Linked DNA regions of Oryctolagus cuniculus. The protein of the gene in region 2 interacts with the protein of the main gene of each other region in a pairwise test. Links are inferred from orthologs where the notes say so. Each region holds a gene or a part of one and is shown on either strand. Other genes may lie near its edges. The genes, in order: PEX26 and PEX6.

What was found.
Region 1: the proteins of PEX6 (region 2) and PEX26 come close enough for resonance energy transfer, tested with the Homo sapiens proteins (2 studies listed by BioGRID). The link is inferred for Oryctolagus cuniculus from reciprocal best matches to the Homo sapiens genes PEX6 and PEX26.

The regions. Positions count from the first base shown.
Region 1 is NC_091440.1:88,962,767-88,970,312, reverse strand, and holds the start of PEX26 (peroxisome assembly protein 26), read left to right. Parts: upstream 1-3,167; 5' UTR 3,168-3,338; exon of another isoform or gene 3,339-3,505; 5' UTR 3,506-3,587; coding exon 3,588-3,817; intron 3,818-5,141; coding exon 5,142-5,282; intron 5,283-6,027; coding exon 6,028-6,323; intron 6,324-7,546. UniProt on the Homo sapiens protein: Peroxisomal docking factor that anchors PEX1 and PEX6 to peroxisome membranes. PEX26 is therefore required for the formation of the PEX1-PEX6 AAA ATPase complex, a complex that mediates the extraction of the PEX5 receptor from peroxisomal membrane.
Region 2 is NC_091436.1:127,039,668-127,046,420, forward strand, and holds part of PEX6 (peroxisome biogenesis factor 6), read left to right. Parts: intron 1-2,743; coding exon 2,744-2,846; intron 2,847-2,940; coding exon 2,941-3,071; intron 3,072-3,653; coding exon 3,654-3,765; intron 3,766-4,049; coding exon 4,050-4,258; intron 4,259-4,624; coding exon 4,625-4,820; intron 4,821-4,989; coding exon 4,990-5,066; intron 5,067-5,143; coding exon 5,144-5,306; intron 5,307-5,385; coding exon 5,386-5,591; intron 5,592-5,683; coding exon 5,684-5,745; intron 5,746-5,909; coding exon 5,910-6,018; intron 6,019-6,238; coding exon 6,239-6,355; intron 6,356-6,479; coding exon 6,480-6,557; intron 6,558-6,683; coding exon 6,684-6,753. UniProt on the Homo sapiens protein: Component of the PEX1-PEX6 AAA ATPase complex, a protein dislocase complex that mediates the ATP-dependent extraction of the PEX5 receptor from peroxisomal membranes, an essential step for PEX5 recycling.

The DNA.
Region 1 (7,546 bases), on a different chromosome or scaffold from region 2:
CATCATCTGATGTCAAATCTAAGTAAAAGCTGATCAAAAGGTTGGCAACCTCAGCATTAGACTCGACGCTTTCCAGGAATCTCTGCCTTGCTCTGGAGTTTGCTTCAGACGAATGAATATTGCCTGGTGAGGTAGAGGGGCTCAGCGGGGAGCTCTTCACATGAAGAGTGAACCCCACTGACAGAGGCCAGGCCTGAGCACTAGGTCACAGCTTCTCTCTGCTCTGACCCAGCTCTGGGCTTGCTGTTAGAAAACAAAGTCAAATGCAGATGCTGTTGTTGGAATACATTCCCTGGTTGCTGTATTGCACATTCTTGCCCCTGTGTGAAATAAGAATTCAAAGTAGAAGCAAGGGTCAAGTTCAAGAATAACAGCTGAATTTATGTTAAAAGAGTGAGTGCATTGGAAACTCATAACTGGTGCATAGGGAGATTACTGATGCCATAAACAGGAGTGTCAATTGGTAAAGTCAACAACAGGAGTCACTGTGCACTTACTCCTCATGTAGGATCTCGGTCCTTAACGTGCTGTACACTGAGGCTTAATGCTATAACGAGTACTCAAACAGTATATTTCACTTTGTGTTTCTATGGGGGTGCAAACGACTGAAATCTTTACTTAATGTACACTAAACTGATCTTTTGTAAAAAAAAAAAAAAAAAAAAGAAAGAAATTTTCAATTCCCAACTTGACTCTCACTGGGATTAAACATGACAATAGGTCTGATCTGATTTCATCATCATTTTAAAAAAATCATCTATTATTTTTCACTTTATGTTTCTGTGTGGGAGCAAACTGTTGAAATACTTACTTAAGGTATACTAAGCTGATCTTCTGTATATTAAGATAATCGAAAATGAATCTTGATGTGAATGGAAGGGGAGAGGGAGTGGGAAAGGGGAGGGTTGTTGGTGGGAGGGACGGTATGGGGGGGGAAGCCATTGTAACCCATGAGTCGTACTTTGGAAATTTATATTCATTAAATAAAAGATAAAAAAAAAAAAAAAAAAAAAAAAAAAGAGTGAGTGCATGTTCAGATGCCGGCGACCCCATGAGGAGAGACATCAACCATAAGAATCTGCCTTTGTGAGCAAAAGGTAGAAAGAGCCATGTGCCTGTGAGGAGAGAGAGCCCCCAATGGAGCAGATGCTTTCTTTGTATAGGGAGTGGTGCCCTAATTGCATGTACAAATGGAGTGGGACTCAGTACATGTGATATTCTCTGGGAAGGATTTCATGTTGGAACTCAATGTACAGTTGCTCATCATCTCTTCTTCATGTGGATAGGTGTGTCATGAGAAAGTGGCTGTATTGAATTACCATGCAAGGAGGGGGGGGTGGAGTTAGGGTGCAGGGCTAGAGACATAAAGTGTGGAAAACCTCCCAGCTCTGTGGCTCCTTACCTGATCCCATGCCTATCTCCTATCAATATCAACTCTACCTTTCCACTATTTCAAGTCCCAATCCTTTTTCTCTGTTTTATTTCAACTTAGCATTTATCATTATATGACACAGTATTCTGCAAGTTTTGCTTATTTTCTATGTTGACTTATTTTTTTTTTTTTGCCTCTTTTGTTCTTTATGCCATCTGCAGTGCTTAGAACAGTGCCTGACATCTCACAGGCATTCAAAAATTACCTCTGCAATGACAAGTCCTCTGCTCATCACCTTGTTTGGCTATAGGGTACATACCTTTCTTTCCTTGGAGTTTGATGAGCTTGATGTTTTCGCTTTCGCTTTCCTTGAGGACTTTGAGCAGAAAGCTGAAAGCCCCGAAAATGGATGTGTTCATGCCTCTGAGCAGGCACTCACCTTGTGCCCGGCCTATCTGATCTAATCAGAGAGCAAGTAAACGTGAAGACTCACTGGGGAGAGTTCAAAAGCAGACAACCAGAGAGAAACTAAAGCCAAGCGGTCCTGGTAAGAAACATAGGCTTGTCAAACCCTGGACTAAATATAGAGCACAACGTGTAATTTATGTATCTGTGAAACATTGCATAATATCTTTTACAGCTACAATTTATCAAATGCCCTCTGTGGTCCCAGTATTTTATTGTAAATCTCATCACACACTGCGTGGCTTTTTGTTAACAATATCCTTATTTTATATGAGAAAACAAAGGTTCAAGGAGTTAAACTTACAACTGCTTGTACCATGATTGTGCGTCCTCTCTGAATAGAAAGTATTGACCTTGTTCTGTCCCTGCAGAAATAGTGACTTAAAACACATACCTGTGTTTTTGGTTACTTTCTACGGCAACTAGATAAGCCTCAATTGCCTCATCTGTAAAATGAGGTAACAATTGTCCTTTTTTTTTTTTTTTTCTTTTCTTTTTGGACAGGCAGAGTGGACAGAGAGAGAGAGAGAGACAGAGAGAAAAGTCTTCCTTTCCCATTGGTTCACCCTCCAATGGCCGCCGCGGCCCGCGCGCTGCGGCTGGCGCACCGCGCTGATCCGATGGCAGGAGCCAGGAGCCAGGTGCTTCTCCTGGTCTCCCATGGGGTGCAGGGCCCAAGCACCTGGGCCATCCTCCACTGCACTCCCGGGCCACAGCAGAGAGCTGGCCTGGAAGAGGAGCAACCGGGACAGAATCCGGCGCCCGGACCGGGACTAGAACCCAGTGTGCCCGCGCTGCAAGGCGAAGGATTAGCCTATTGAGCTGCGGCGCCGGCAACAGTTGTTCTTAATTCACAGCTGTCCTTAATTCACAGACTCAAGAATTAAATGGCACGCAACGTGCTTAGCACAGCGTCACAACCTTCAAGAACTAAGTGTGAATTGTGCTGGAGACAGTCCGGAAAAGCAGACAGCTGCAACCTTGAGTTTTCGTGCCTTTCCTGGTCTCCCCTCCCGACGTCCTGCCTGCCATCCCGACACAAGCTCAGAATTAGAAGCTCCACCTCAATCAGTGGACTTCTTTCTGTCCAGCTTGTTCTTGCACTCGGTTACCGAGCGGCCTTCTTCATTCCCCAATATAATTCCGGTTTTGTTAACTGCTCGTCTACCCCTCTTTCCCGTTCCCAGAGCCGGCAAGCAGGTAGGTTTTCTCCTAGGACCGTGACCGTATCCGCGGCGTGGCATTCTGGGAGCTGTAGTCCAAATCCTCCCATCTGCTTCTAGAGAGCGACTGAGCCGAGAGGCGGGAACTACGAATCCCAGCGTCCTCCGCGCATCCGGTGCCGCACTGCTACCGCGGGCTGCGAGAGCCGGAAGATGGCCGCGCCCTGTGCTCGGTACCCGCAGTGAGGCAGTCTTTTGGTACAAAGAAGCGCGGAATGTCACTCTTCGGAGCTCAGGTGCTCGGGCACATGTCGTGAGGCCGGAGCAGCTAGGGCCAGGTATTCCGAGGACGCAGTAATTCTGTAAACCTGAGGTGAAAACCGAGGTGCCAGGTGCTTTTGAGCCCAGCCTTTGCCTCACAAATGGCCCCTTCCTTTTCGTTCTGCAGGAATTGACCCAGGGGAGGGTGGTGGGTCAGGATATGAGGACTCCCCTTTTCTCTCAGGCCGCCTCGGGACATCCTGGAGCCTTTGGAAAGGTGGGTTACTCTGGCGTCTGAAGAGACAGCCCCCGAGCCCAGGCAGGCTATGAAGAGCGACTCTTCGGCCTCTGCAGCCCCCCTCAAAGGACTCGGGGGGCTCCTGCGGAGCAGCGAGCCCGTGCGCTCCGGCCCGGCCTGTTCTCTCGCCGTGGATCTGCTGGAGGAGGCAGCAGACTTCCTAGTGGTGCACCTGGACTTCCGGGCGGCGCTGGCGACCTGCGAACGCGCGTGGCTGAGCCTGGCCAGCGAAGGTCTGGCTGAGGAGCCCGCCGGCACGTACGTGCTATGTTCCGTCCGTTTCCGGGCCGTTTTGTGGAGGGACTCAATAGGTCGCGGCATAGCTTTCCTTTCCAGATTGCTCACGAGGAGCCTCATAGCTCGCTTTCGTGAGTGGCTGCTTTCAGAGCACCTGGGTATTTATATTGTGTCCATTCTATAGAGGAGGAAACTGAGGCACTGCACAATGAAGAAGCGATCAGGCGTGTTACAGTTTAGTGGGAACCCACGGCCAGTTCTTGGCGCCTCCTTGCAGTGTAGACTGGCGTGATAGAAAGGTTGAATGAGTGTTAACGTCTGTCAGTGAACAGGTTGCAGAGCCTCCCAGCTGCCCCTTTCGCTAGGCTCTGAGGTTGTTCGCTCTTGACCTTGGCTGATGAAGGGGAATGGGGGTCAGGGAAGGAGTAGGGTTATGGTCCTGTTGAATGATTGGATTAAATAATGAATCTGGAGAAAGCCTTGGTACTGCATTGCTCCTCCTAATACCTCCATCCTTCCTTGGCAGTTCAGGGCGCCATTTCTCATGGGTTTTAATGGTGCATTAGGCCATACCAGGGAGGTGATGGGTAGAATAGTAAAAGCTGACCCCAAAGAATGAACTAGAGGCCTGGCTGTGTTTTTAGGTGGCGATTGGGTGCTTATGCAGTAAATGCAAAAGGCTTTGCTTCGGGGTGTCTGGAGGCAATACTAAAAGGCCAATTTTAGAGTTCCTGTACCTACACTTAGCCAGAAATCTTGTTCGAAACTCTTATTCACTAAACATTTGGCTCCACCTTTTTCTTTAAAATTTTTTTTAAAATTGTAATATAGTATACATACCAAGAAATGCACATAAGTGTACAGATGAGATTTTGTCTTCTGAGCATACTCATATCCAACATTTAAACAAAAAACAAAGTATTACTAATACCCTGAGAGTCCTCACTATCCCCCCCAACATTTCTCCTTTTTTAAATGTGGAAAGCAGGAGTATATTGTTATTTACTTGTGCTCCACCTCCTTACATCCACACACCTGTGCTCAAGTTCTCCCCCCACCTCCCAGCCCCTCTTATCCTTCCCATTCATTTATTCCTGATTTTACCTGGATACCAGGATATGTATTTGCCGACAGCTGATTTACCCCAAAGTTTACAGGAACTTTAAGCTCCCAGGCGAAAGGGCAGCCCATGAGACTGAATGTGGGGCCCAGTAGAATACTGATGGGGAAGATAGAGGTTGATAACTGCTGAGGTAGGAAGTAGAGAAGAGCAGTCCCAGGGTGGAGGCGGGCATGGAAATGGAGTGGAATCCCTTCTAAACCAAATGGGTCTTTCTGCTGACAGCTCCTTGGAGGTGAAATGCTCCCTGTGTGTTGTGGGGATCCAGGCGCTGGCAGAAATGGACCGGTGGCAGGAAGTCCTCTCCTGGGTCCTTCAGTACTACAAGGTCCCTGAAAAGCTACCTCCCAAAGTCCTGGAGCTGTGGTATGTTCTTCTTGCTTGTATAGTCTCAGTCCTGAAGATTTCATGTCCTCTCCTGAATTAGGCTCTAGTATCTCCTTTTTCCCCTTCCCTACCACTTTCTTACAAATCTAATCATTTCTCCTCTTCCCCCCACCCCCTTTTTTCAGACCCCAAAAGGGATGAGGGAGGAGGAGTTTAGGAGTAGGGTAGAGAACAGGGGACACAGGATGGGAGAGAAGTGGGAGGAAAGAAATGGACAAAGCTGAGAACCTGCCTGCTACTTTCTAGGAATTCCTGCTAATTTTTTAAAATTATTTTATTTATTTGAAAGGCAGACCGAGAAAGAGAGTTACGCAGAGATATCTCCAATCTGCACTTCCCAAATGCTCACAGGAGCTTGAATTGGGCATGGCCAAAGCTAGAAGCTGGGAATTCAATCTAGCTTTCCCACGAGGATGGCAAGGATTCAAGTATTTGAGCCCTTACCTTCCACCTTCCAGGGTGTGCATTAGTTGGAATCAGGAGCAGAGGTGGGATTTGAACCCAGGTTCTCTGATAGAGGATACAAGTATCCCAAAGTGGTGTCTTAACCACTGTGCAGAACATACCTGCCCGCCCAATTCTAGTAGTGCCGGCATTCTGTAGGAAAGGGCTGGAGGACATGGAGAGATTGGGTAGGATCAGCATAATAGTTACGAGAAATGAAGCAACTGTGGAGAACTGACTTTTCTTTGTTGGGGGTGGATTGGATTATTTGGGGTTGCAGCATTCTGTTATACAGCAAGATGAAAGAGCCTGGAGCCATGCTGGATGTGGTCAGTGCCTGGCTCCAAGACCCTGGTAATCAGGACCTTCCAGAATATGGAGCCTTGGCAGAACTTCACCTGCAGCGGGTGCTGCTGCCTCTGGGCCACTTGTTGGAGGCTGAGGAGCTAGTGACTGGTTCTATAGCCTTTGATGAGGAGCAGCGGCTGGGTGGACTCCACGCCATTCATTCAGCGAGGCTGCGGCAGACACAGGAACACTCAGGCTCTCAGCAGACCCAGGAGCTAAACCAGGAAGGTAGGACATTATTCCTGTGTGTTGTCTTTAAAGTGGAGTTGTGGGCTCTGTCTGCGCCTGTGTCCAACATGGCTCTCCTGGGAGCTCGGGAGCAATTCTTTGTATGAATAATTTCTGAATCACAGGAAAAGACCTTACAGACCCTCTGAAGTTGGCAATGGAAGGAGTATCTTCATATGGGGAGATATTGCTGGGTCTTTTTTTTTTTTTTTAATATTTATTTATTTCTTTGAAAGGCAGAGTTACAGAGAGGCATAGAGAGAGAGATAGAGAAAGGTCTTCCATTGTTTCACTCCCCAGTTGGCAGCAATGGCTGGAGCTGTGTCGATCAGAGCCAGGAGCCCAGGAGCTTCCTCTGGTTTCCCCATGAGGGTGCAGGGGCCCAAGGGCTTGGGTCATCCTCTACTGCTTTCTCAGGCCATAGCAGAGAGCTGGATCAGAAATGGAGCAGCCAGACTTGAATCAAACTGGTGCCCATATGGGATGCAAGCACTGCAGACTGGGGCTTTAATCCGCTGCACGACAGTGCTGCGCCCTGGGTCTTATTTTTCAGAAGTCACATTCTCATTGGGGTTTGATCAGTTACCTTTCTAGAGTCCTCTCTTTAGACTTTACTAGCTTTCTTGCTTCCATGATGCTGGCCTCTTCCTTTAAATGCTGGCCCAAATGCACATAGGGGTGACACGCTTGGGAGTAGCCAAAGGAAAGATAAGAAACATAAAATAATTTGGTTTCTTGACATAGGAGATAAGAATTAATTTATCTTTAACTTTGGGTCCTCCTGCCCAATATCCTGCCTGCCTTCACATACAAGAGCTTTTGAGGGGTTTCTCGTGGTTGATGTCCAACCCTTAACATTCAAGTTTTACACAATGGCTTTTGTAGGGAAACCACTACGTAGACCTGATACTAACTGCCTAGCTAGTATTATATAAGGCGTCCTTAAACTAGTAGAAGTGAGGATTCTTTTGTTACCAGGGTTAGGGACTTTAAAGATCCTCCACCTAGACGGCCCAAGTACTTGGGCCCTGCACCCCATGGGAGACCAGGATAAGTACCTGACTCCTGCCATCGGATCGGTATGGTGCGCCGGCTGCAGCATGCTGGCCGCGGCGGCCATTGGAGGGTGAACCAACGGCAAAGGAAGACCTTTCTCTCTGTCTCTCTCTCTCACTGTCCACTCTGCCTGTCAAAAAAAAAAAAAAAAAAAATATTCCACCTAG
Region 2 (6,753 bases):
GCTGTCACGCACAGGCGTGGAGAGAAGGTCCGCCCCTCCCTCACATTCCCAAACAGGTGCACGACTGAGAAAAGGTTAAGAACCACTGAACCTGCCGGCTTTGGGAGGTGTTCATCTTCAGACTGATTGGTGGGCTCAGGGGGAGTAAAGGAATAAGAGTAGGTGAATGGCCTAGACCGAGACAGGATTCCTTCCTTCCTGTCCATTGTCAGCCACAGAGCTACTTCGGCCACGACTTCAGCGTAAGGCCACACAGGCACTGGTTGCTGCCATAGCTGATGGAGTATGTACCTTTCTGCTCCTCACTTCTGTCTCTCAGCCTTAAACAGAGGAGAGACAGTCTGCTGCTGTCCTCGAGAGGACGCCTCTGTTTCCTGTCCTCAATGGAGAGTAACAAACAGCATAACCGAGCCAAGAACCCAAAACCAGGGGTCCAGCTTTTCTCCTCCTCCTGTTGACTCTGAGCGCAGAGGTTCCATGTGAGGACTGCTTTGGCCAAATGTGAAGGGAGGAAAATGTACCACAGGCAGCCTCCAGTCTGGACCGACTTCCTGCGGCAGAGAACTAAAAGGAGATCACAGCTGAGAGATGCACTAACCCAGCTTTAAGAGCTGTCCTGTCCCAGGTCTCCGGCCTCGCCAGCCCGGGGCCTCTGCCAAGAGAGACGCCTTATCTGGAGAACCTGATTCTCCCTGGTCCACATCCAAAGCTTGGCTCTGGCCGGGGCTCAGTGCCTCTAATCTCAGGGTGGTGCTGCCCATATGGAGAGCCTGGTGGTGCCCTGTGTAACCCCATTTAGGCTTCATGACACCTCTGCGGTGTCCCAGGCTGCGGCTGGGGTCTGACAGAAAATGCCACGCTGGCACTTACCAGGCAGTTCCCTCCTTTGTCTCCCATCTGAAATTTAGCAAACACCTGTGAGGAAAGCTATAGCATACCCACCCTTTGTGCTTCCCAAAGGAAAACAGGCGCAAGGACTAATCAAGACAGACCAGCAAGCCAGTTCTGTCCCTGGATCTCTGCCGTCCCAACCCTGTAGAAACCTGCCTTCCCTCTGGGTGCTGAGCACGTACGTGGTTCTCTCCCCCACCCCGGCAAGTCCCAAGGCAGGCAGGGTTGGGGTGCGTGGGCAGGTGGGCCCAAGGACAGATAGAGAGGAGTGCCTTGGGCTTCCCTAGGCTTGGTTAGGAATGTCCTCTGCTCCCTGGAAGGGAATTCCTTTGTTACTGGTGTAGCCTCTTCAGTGTGTTTCCTGTGCCCCACTTCCTAGAACCAGGCCATGCAGGAGCCAGCTCCACGGCTGTCCATCTGGCTCTCTGGAACATACCCCATGTCCTCTGCAGTGTCCTGATAGGTTCCCGAGCTCTGGCCCTTTTGCTCACTAGGGCGTTGCAGCAGCCCTCCGCGGGGGAAGGTGGTCTCTCGCTGTACACAGCAGTGCTGACCCTCCTCACACTCCTGTGCGGAGCTCCCGGCGCTGGCCATATGCTCCACTTGTGCTTGCTTTGACCGCAGTCACTGCCAGCTGGAACGCAGGCATTTTGAATGCTCACTTGCTGCACTTCCCCGGATCACCCTGAGGCATCCCCGCCTCCACCCACTGCTGGAGGACGGAGGGCGCAGCCTTGTAGCTGTGGTGCTGTGTGAGCAAGGGGCCCGAGTGATTGGCTCTGTCTTTGCCTTGCTGTCTGCAGGTTGAAGAGGGGAGGAGTTCGCCTCCTGTCTTTATTTGAAAGATGAAGTTAGTAGCTGCTACCTGCTGCCCATCCCCTTGAGGAGATTGAACTGCCCTCACTGGGACGCTAGCCAGAGTCTGCACAGCCCTGTCAGAATGGCGAGGGGAGCTTTTGAAACAGAAGCAAAGCCTTGTCCAGACCCATCAGACCAGAATCCTCTTCTTCCCTCAGAGGAGGGAGGACTGTTAATTTTTAAATCAAGATAAATTCACACACCATAAAACTCATACTTTCAACCCAGTGGTTTTAATTACATTCACACGGTCGTGCAGCCAACACCGCTGTCTAATTCCAGACCACTTTCGTCACCCTAGGAAAAGCCCGGAACTCACTGCCAGCCACTCCATATCCTCCCCTGCCCCTCGGCCTCTGGCAACCTTGAGTCTCCTAAATGAGAGCATATAATGAGTGAAAAATGTTTAATTTTTTTTTAAGCTTCACAGGTCATTCCCACATGCAGCCAGGAAAGAGAGACTCAGTACTCGTAGATATCGTTATCAGGGAGTCTGCCTGCCATTAGATTTTGTGGCTTGAATGAGAGCCAGGGAGTCTCCCTCCTTCTGAGGCTTGAGGGCCTGAGTGGGTATGTGCCAGGGGTCTTCAAAAAATTGTTATGTTAATGAGAAACTGTACACAGATCTCAAAAATGTTTGCATGCAAATAAACTTAGCTTTTAATTCCACTTTGCCGTGGACTTTGTGAAGTCCCCTCATTTGAGGTGGAGGCTGTGTTGTGAAGCCACCGGAAATGATGAGATAATCCCTTGCTGGCTGCGGCAGCCCGAGTACCTGCAGAAACACAGCCCCTAGGCCCTCTGAGGATTGTCGTTGGGGAGCAAAGGGACAGGGATAGCTCCTGCCCTTCGCATTTGTGGGGTGCAGTGTGGGGGAGAAAGGAAAAATCTTTCCTATCTCCCTGCACCCCTTGTCATGCACAAAGCCACCTTGTCCTGGGGTGGGCAGCCTGCAAGCCTGCGGTCTGGGGTTCATCGGGCCTCTCTCCCGCAGGTGGCGAGAGCTGTTCTTTAAAGTGAAGAGAACGATCGGGGAGGTTGCAGATGGGCCAGCCAGCACCTACTTGGCTGACACCACCCACACTTCCTTGTACATGGTGAGGCCCCAGGGTCGTGCGTAGACCTGGCAGGGAGGGAGGTGGGGGCTGGAAGCAAGATTTAGGAACACAAGCTGCTTCCTGCCTTTCCCAGGTGGGTTCCACCCTGAGCTGCGTTCCCAGTCTCCCTTCAGCAGGCGCTCCGTGGAGTTCCTTGTCTCCTCCGGGCCTGGAGGGCTTGGTGGCTGAGATCTGTGCTGCCCTGAAGCCTCGCCTCCAGCTGGGGTGAGTGAGGCTGCTGTCCTGGGGTGAGGAGAGCCTGCTTTAGAACCTGCCAGGCTGCCCGGTTCCTACTGCTGTGGCTGGAGTGGGAGTGGGAGGACCTTCCCCAGGCCTGTGTGCCTGGTCCCATCCTCCATAAGCGAGTTCCTAGGCTCTCTCCTGAGATAACCTCCATCCTCCGAAGTCGGCTGTGGACGAAGAACCAGCCCCAGAGGCTGCTTCTCTGGGGCTCCCCTTCCCATGCAGAGCCCACTGGCCCTGAAGGGCATAGCTGCCCAAGTGCAGAGCCAGTGCCCACCCTTGTGCCTCTCCATACAGTGCAGACCGGATGTGACAGTGCAGGCCTTGCCGCGGACACAGTGATGGTGGAAATGTGGGATGTGTTCCAGGCCCCACCAGATACCACAGGCGGTGTGGGAAGTGCGGGAGGTGCAGCCTCACTGTGGAGACAACACTGGGTTGTGGGCAGGGAGGCCCAGGAGAGAGAAACCCGGGTCTGCTTTTGAGATCCCACGGTTCCTGTGTGAGTGGGGACTTTAAATATGGGCAGAATTGAGGGTACAAGTGACTGTTCTCTGGTTTCAGAGGGGCCTTGCTGACAGGAACTAGCTGTGTCCTCCTGCGGGGCCCCCCAGGCAGTGGGAAGACCACAGCGGTCACGGCGGCCTGTGGTCGCCTTGGGCTCCACTTACTGAAGGTGAGGCTCTCTGGACAGCAGAGCCCCCTTGGCCTCCCCAGATTCTCCCTCTTCCTCCCCAGTACCTCGGTCCAGTGGGCCGCAGGTCAGCGTATTCCCATGATGCTCGGCCACTGTGGGTGCTTTCTAGAAGGAGGAGGGTGGACAGTCCAGGGCCTGGGGTAGGGTGGCTAAGAGGTGGGAGCTGGCCAGTGTGCCCCCTGTACCCAGCCCTGCCCTCAGGAGCAAGGGGGCCCATGCCTGCTTCTGACTGCTCCTCCCCACTCTGCCTGCCTCTGTACCAGGTGCCCTGCTCCAGCCTTTGTGCAGACAGCAGTGGGGCTGTGGAGACAAAACTGCAGGCCACCTTCTCCCGGGCCCGCCGCTGCCGGCCTGTGGTCCTGCTGCTGACGGCCCTGGACCTGCTAGGCCGCGACCGTGATGGGCTGGGCGAGGATGCCCGGGTGGTGGCCGTGCTGCATCACCTCCTCCTCAATGAGGACCCCCTCAGCAGGTATTCATGAAGGGCTGGGCCTGGCGTCCCGCGAGGCCTGGGCTCCCCCTGGAGCCATTCAGTGCTTCCTCACAGCCCCTGTGGCTTCTCAGCCATCCGCTGCTCCCTGGGTTGCCACTGGCAGCCCTGAGCTGAGGGTCCTGGGGTGTCTGGAGGGAGGAGGATGTGGTCCCGGGACCTCCTGGGAAGAACAGCTCCCATCCCCCGAGGTATTCCCTTGGCCCAGCCGGGAACTTTAGGGTGGGGCTGATCTCTGCCCCATCCCGGCCCCACCACTGTCCCTGCCCTGCAGCCACCTCAGCACAGGGCAGGGCCTAGGAGCTCCAGCCACGTTCCCGCCCTCAGTGCCCACCCCTCCTCCTGCAGCCGCCCTCCCCTCATGGTTGTGGCCACCACAAGCCGGGCCCAGGACCTGCCTGCTGACATACAGACAGCATTTCCACACGAGCTGGAGGTGCCCGTGCTGTCAGAGGGGCAGCGGCTCAGCATCCTGCGGGCCCTCACTGCCCACCTCCCCCTGGGCCAAGAGGTGAACCTGGCACAGCTGGCACGGCGGTGTGCAGTGAGTATGAAGGCAGGGCACTGCGCCTCCCCGGGAGGCCACAGGAGCTCAGTGCTGGCTGCTGCCTGCCAGTGAGGGGAGGAACCCCCAAGTCCGCTCTGCCGGGCACCAGTCCCCCATGGTTCCCGCCTGCCACGCCCTGTTCATGTGTCCCCCTGCGCTTTGCTAGGGCTTCGTGGCCGGGGATCTCTGTGCCCTTGTGGCCCACAGCAGCCGGGCAGCCTGCACCAGGATCAGGAACTCAGGGTAAGGGGAGTTCAGCACAGGAGGGGACAGGTGGCAAGAGGAGATGGGGAGGGGCCGGGAAGGAGGCCTTGTGCCAGGTCCTCCTGGGGACTCTGCTCCTCCCGCAGTTTGCCGGGCGGCTGGAGCGAGGAGGATGAGGGGGAGCTGTGTGCGGCCGGCTTTCCCCTTCTGGCTGAGGACTTCGGGCAGGCGCTGGAGCAGCTGCAGACGGCTCACTCCCGGGCCGTGGGAGCCCCCAAGGTGCAGACTCTGGCCAGTGGAGGCTGGGCAGGAGCTGCCTCCACCAGCATATGCCAGACGCCCACCCCCCATCTTCCAGATCCCCTCGGTGTCCTGGCATGACGTAGGCGGGCTGCAGGAGGTGAAGAGGGAGATCCTGGAGACCATTCAGCTCCCCCTGGAGCACCCTGAGCTGCTGAGCCTGGGCCTGAGGCGCTCAGGCCTTCTGCTCCACGGGCCCCCTGGGACAGGCAAGACCCTCCTGGCCAAGGCGGTAGCCACGGAGTGCAGCCTCACCTTCCTCAGGTGGGCGAGGGATGGGGGGCAGCCCGAGAGGGGGGTGACTGTGTGTGTGCACACGCATCTGATGGGTCTCTCCCTCCCATGACCTCCCTCAGTGTGAAGGGGCCAGAGCTCATCAACATGTACGTGGGCCAGAGTGAGGAGAACGTGCGGGAAGGTGAGAGGGGAGGCCCTGGGCTTCAGCCCCTCCCCCAGGCTGCTGGTGGTCACGCCTCGTCCTCCCTTGCACGAGGCAGTCCCTGCCTGGAGTGCGGCCTCCCTGTCTTCTCCCAGCCTCAGACCCCCGAGCCCCCCTCGCTGCCTGCCCCTCTCTCCCCTCAGTGTTCGCCAGGGCCAGGGCTGCGGCGCCATGCATTATCTTCTTTGATGAGCTGGACTCCCTGGCCCCAAGCCGGGGGCGAAGTGGAGACTCTGGAGGAGTGATGGACAGGTGGGGGTCTGAGTGAGAGTGGAGTCTGGGGTCCTGGGTGGGAGCCAAAGAGAGAATTTCCTGCCCTTCCAGTTCAGTGGTGCCAGGGAGCCCAGGGACCTGTGTGGAGGGCACAGGCAGAGCTGGTTGCAAGGCCCCGGTGAGGAGCAGCCTGCAGGGAGAGGCAGCACAGGCGGGGCAGGTCCCCAGGGCCCTCCCAGCTCCGCTTCCCCCCCTCCAGGGTGGTGTCACAGCTCCTGGCCGAGCTGGACGGGCTTCACAGCACTCAGGATGTGTTTGTGATTGGAGCCACCAACAGACCAGACCTCCTGGACCCTGCCCTTCTGCGACCTGGCAGGTGGGCACCCCAGCCTGCTCACCCCCCACCAGGCCCATCTGGGCTCATCCCTCACCCCTGCTCTGCGTCTCCTCCCCCCCTTCCTGGCTGGGCTTCCTCTCACAGACACCCCCATCTCCCTAAGATTTGACAAGCTGGTGTTTGTGGGTGCAAGTGAGGACCGGGCCTCCCAGCTGCGTGTTCTGAGCGCCATCACACGCAAGTATGCCCTGTTCCAGAGACACTCCCCGAGGGCCTGGGCCTTGGGGTGGCCACGGGGTGTGTTGGGCAGTGATGGCTTCAGAGGGAGGATGTGAGGACTGCTGTAACTGTTCCCCACCCCCACAAGATTCAAGCTTGAGCCCTCGGTGAGCCTGGTGAAGGTGCTGGACTGCTGCCCGCCCCAGCTAACAGGCGCA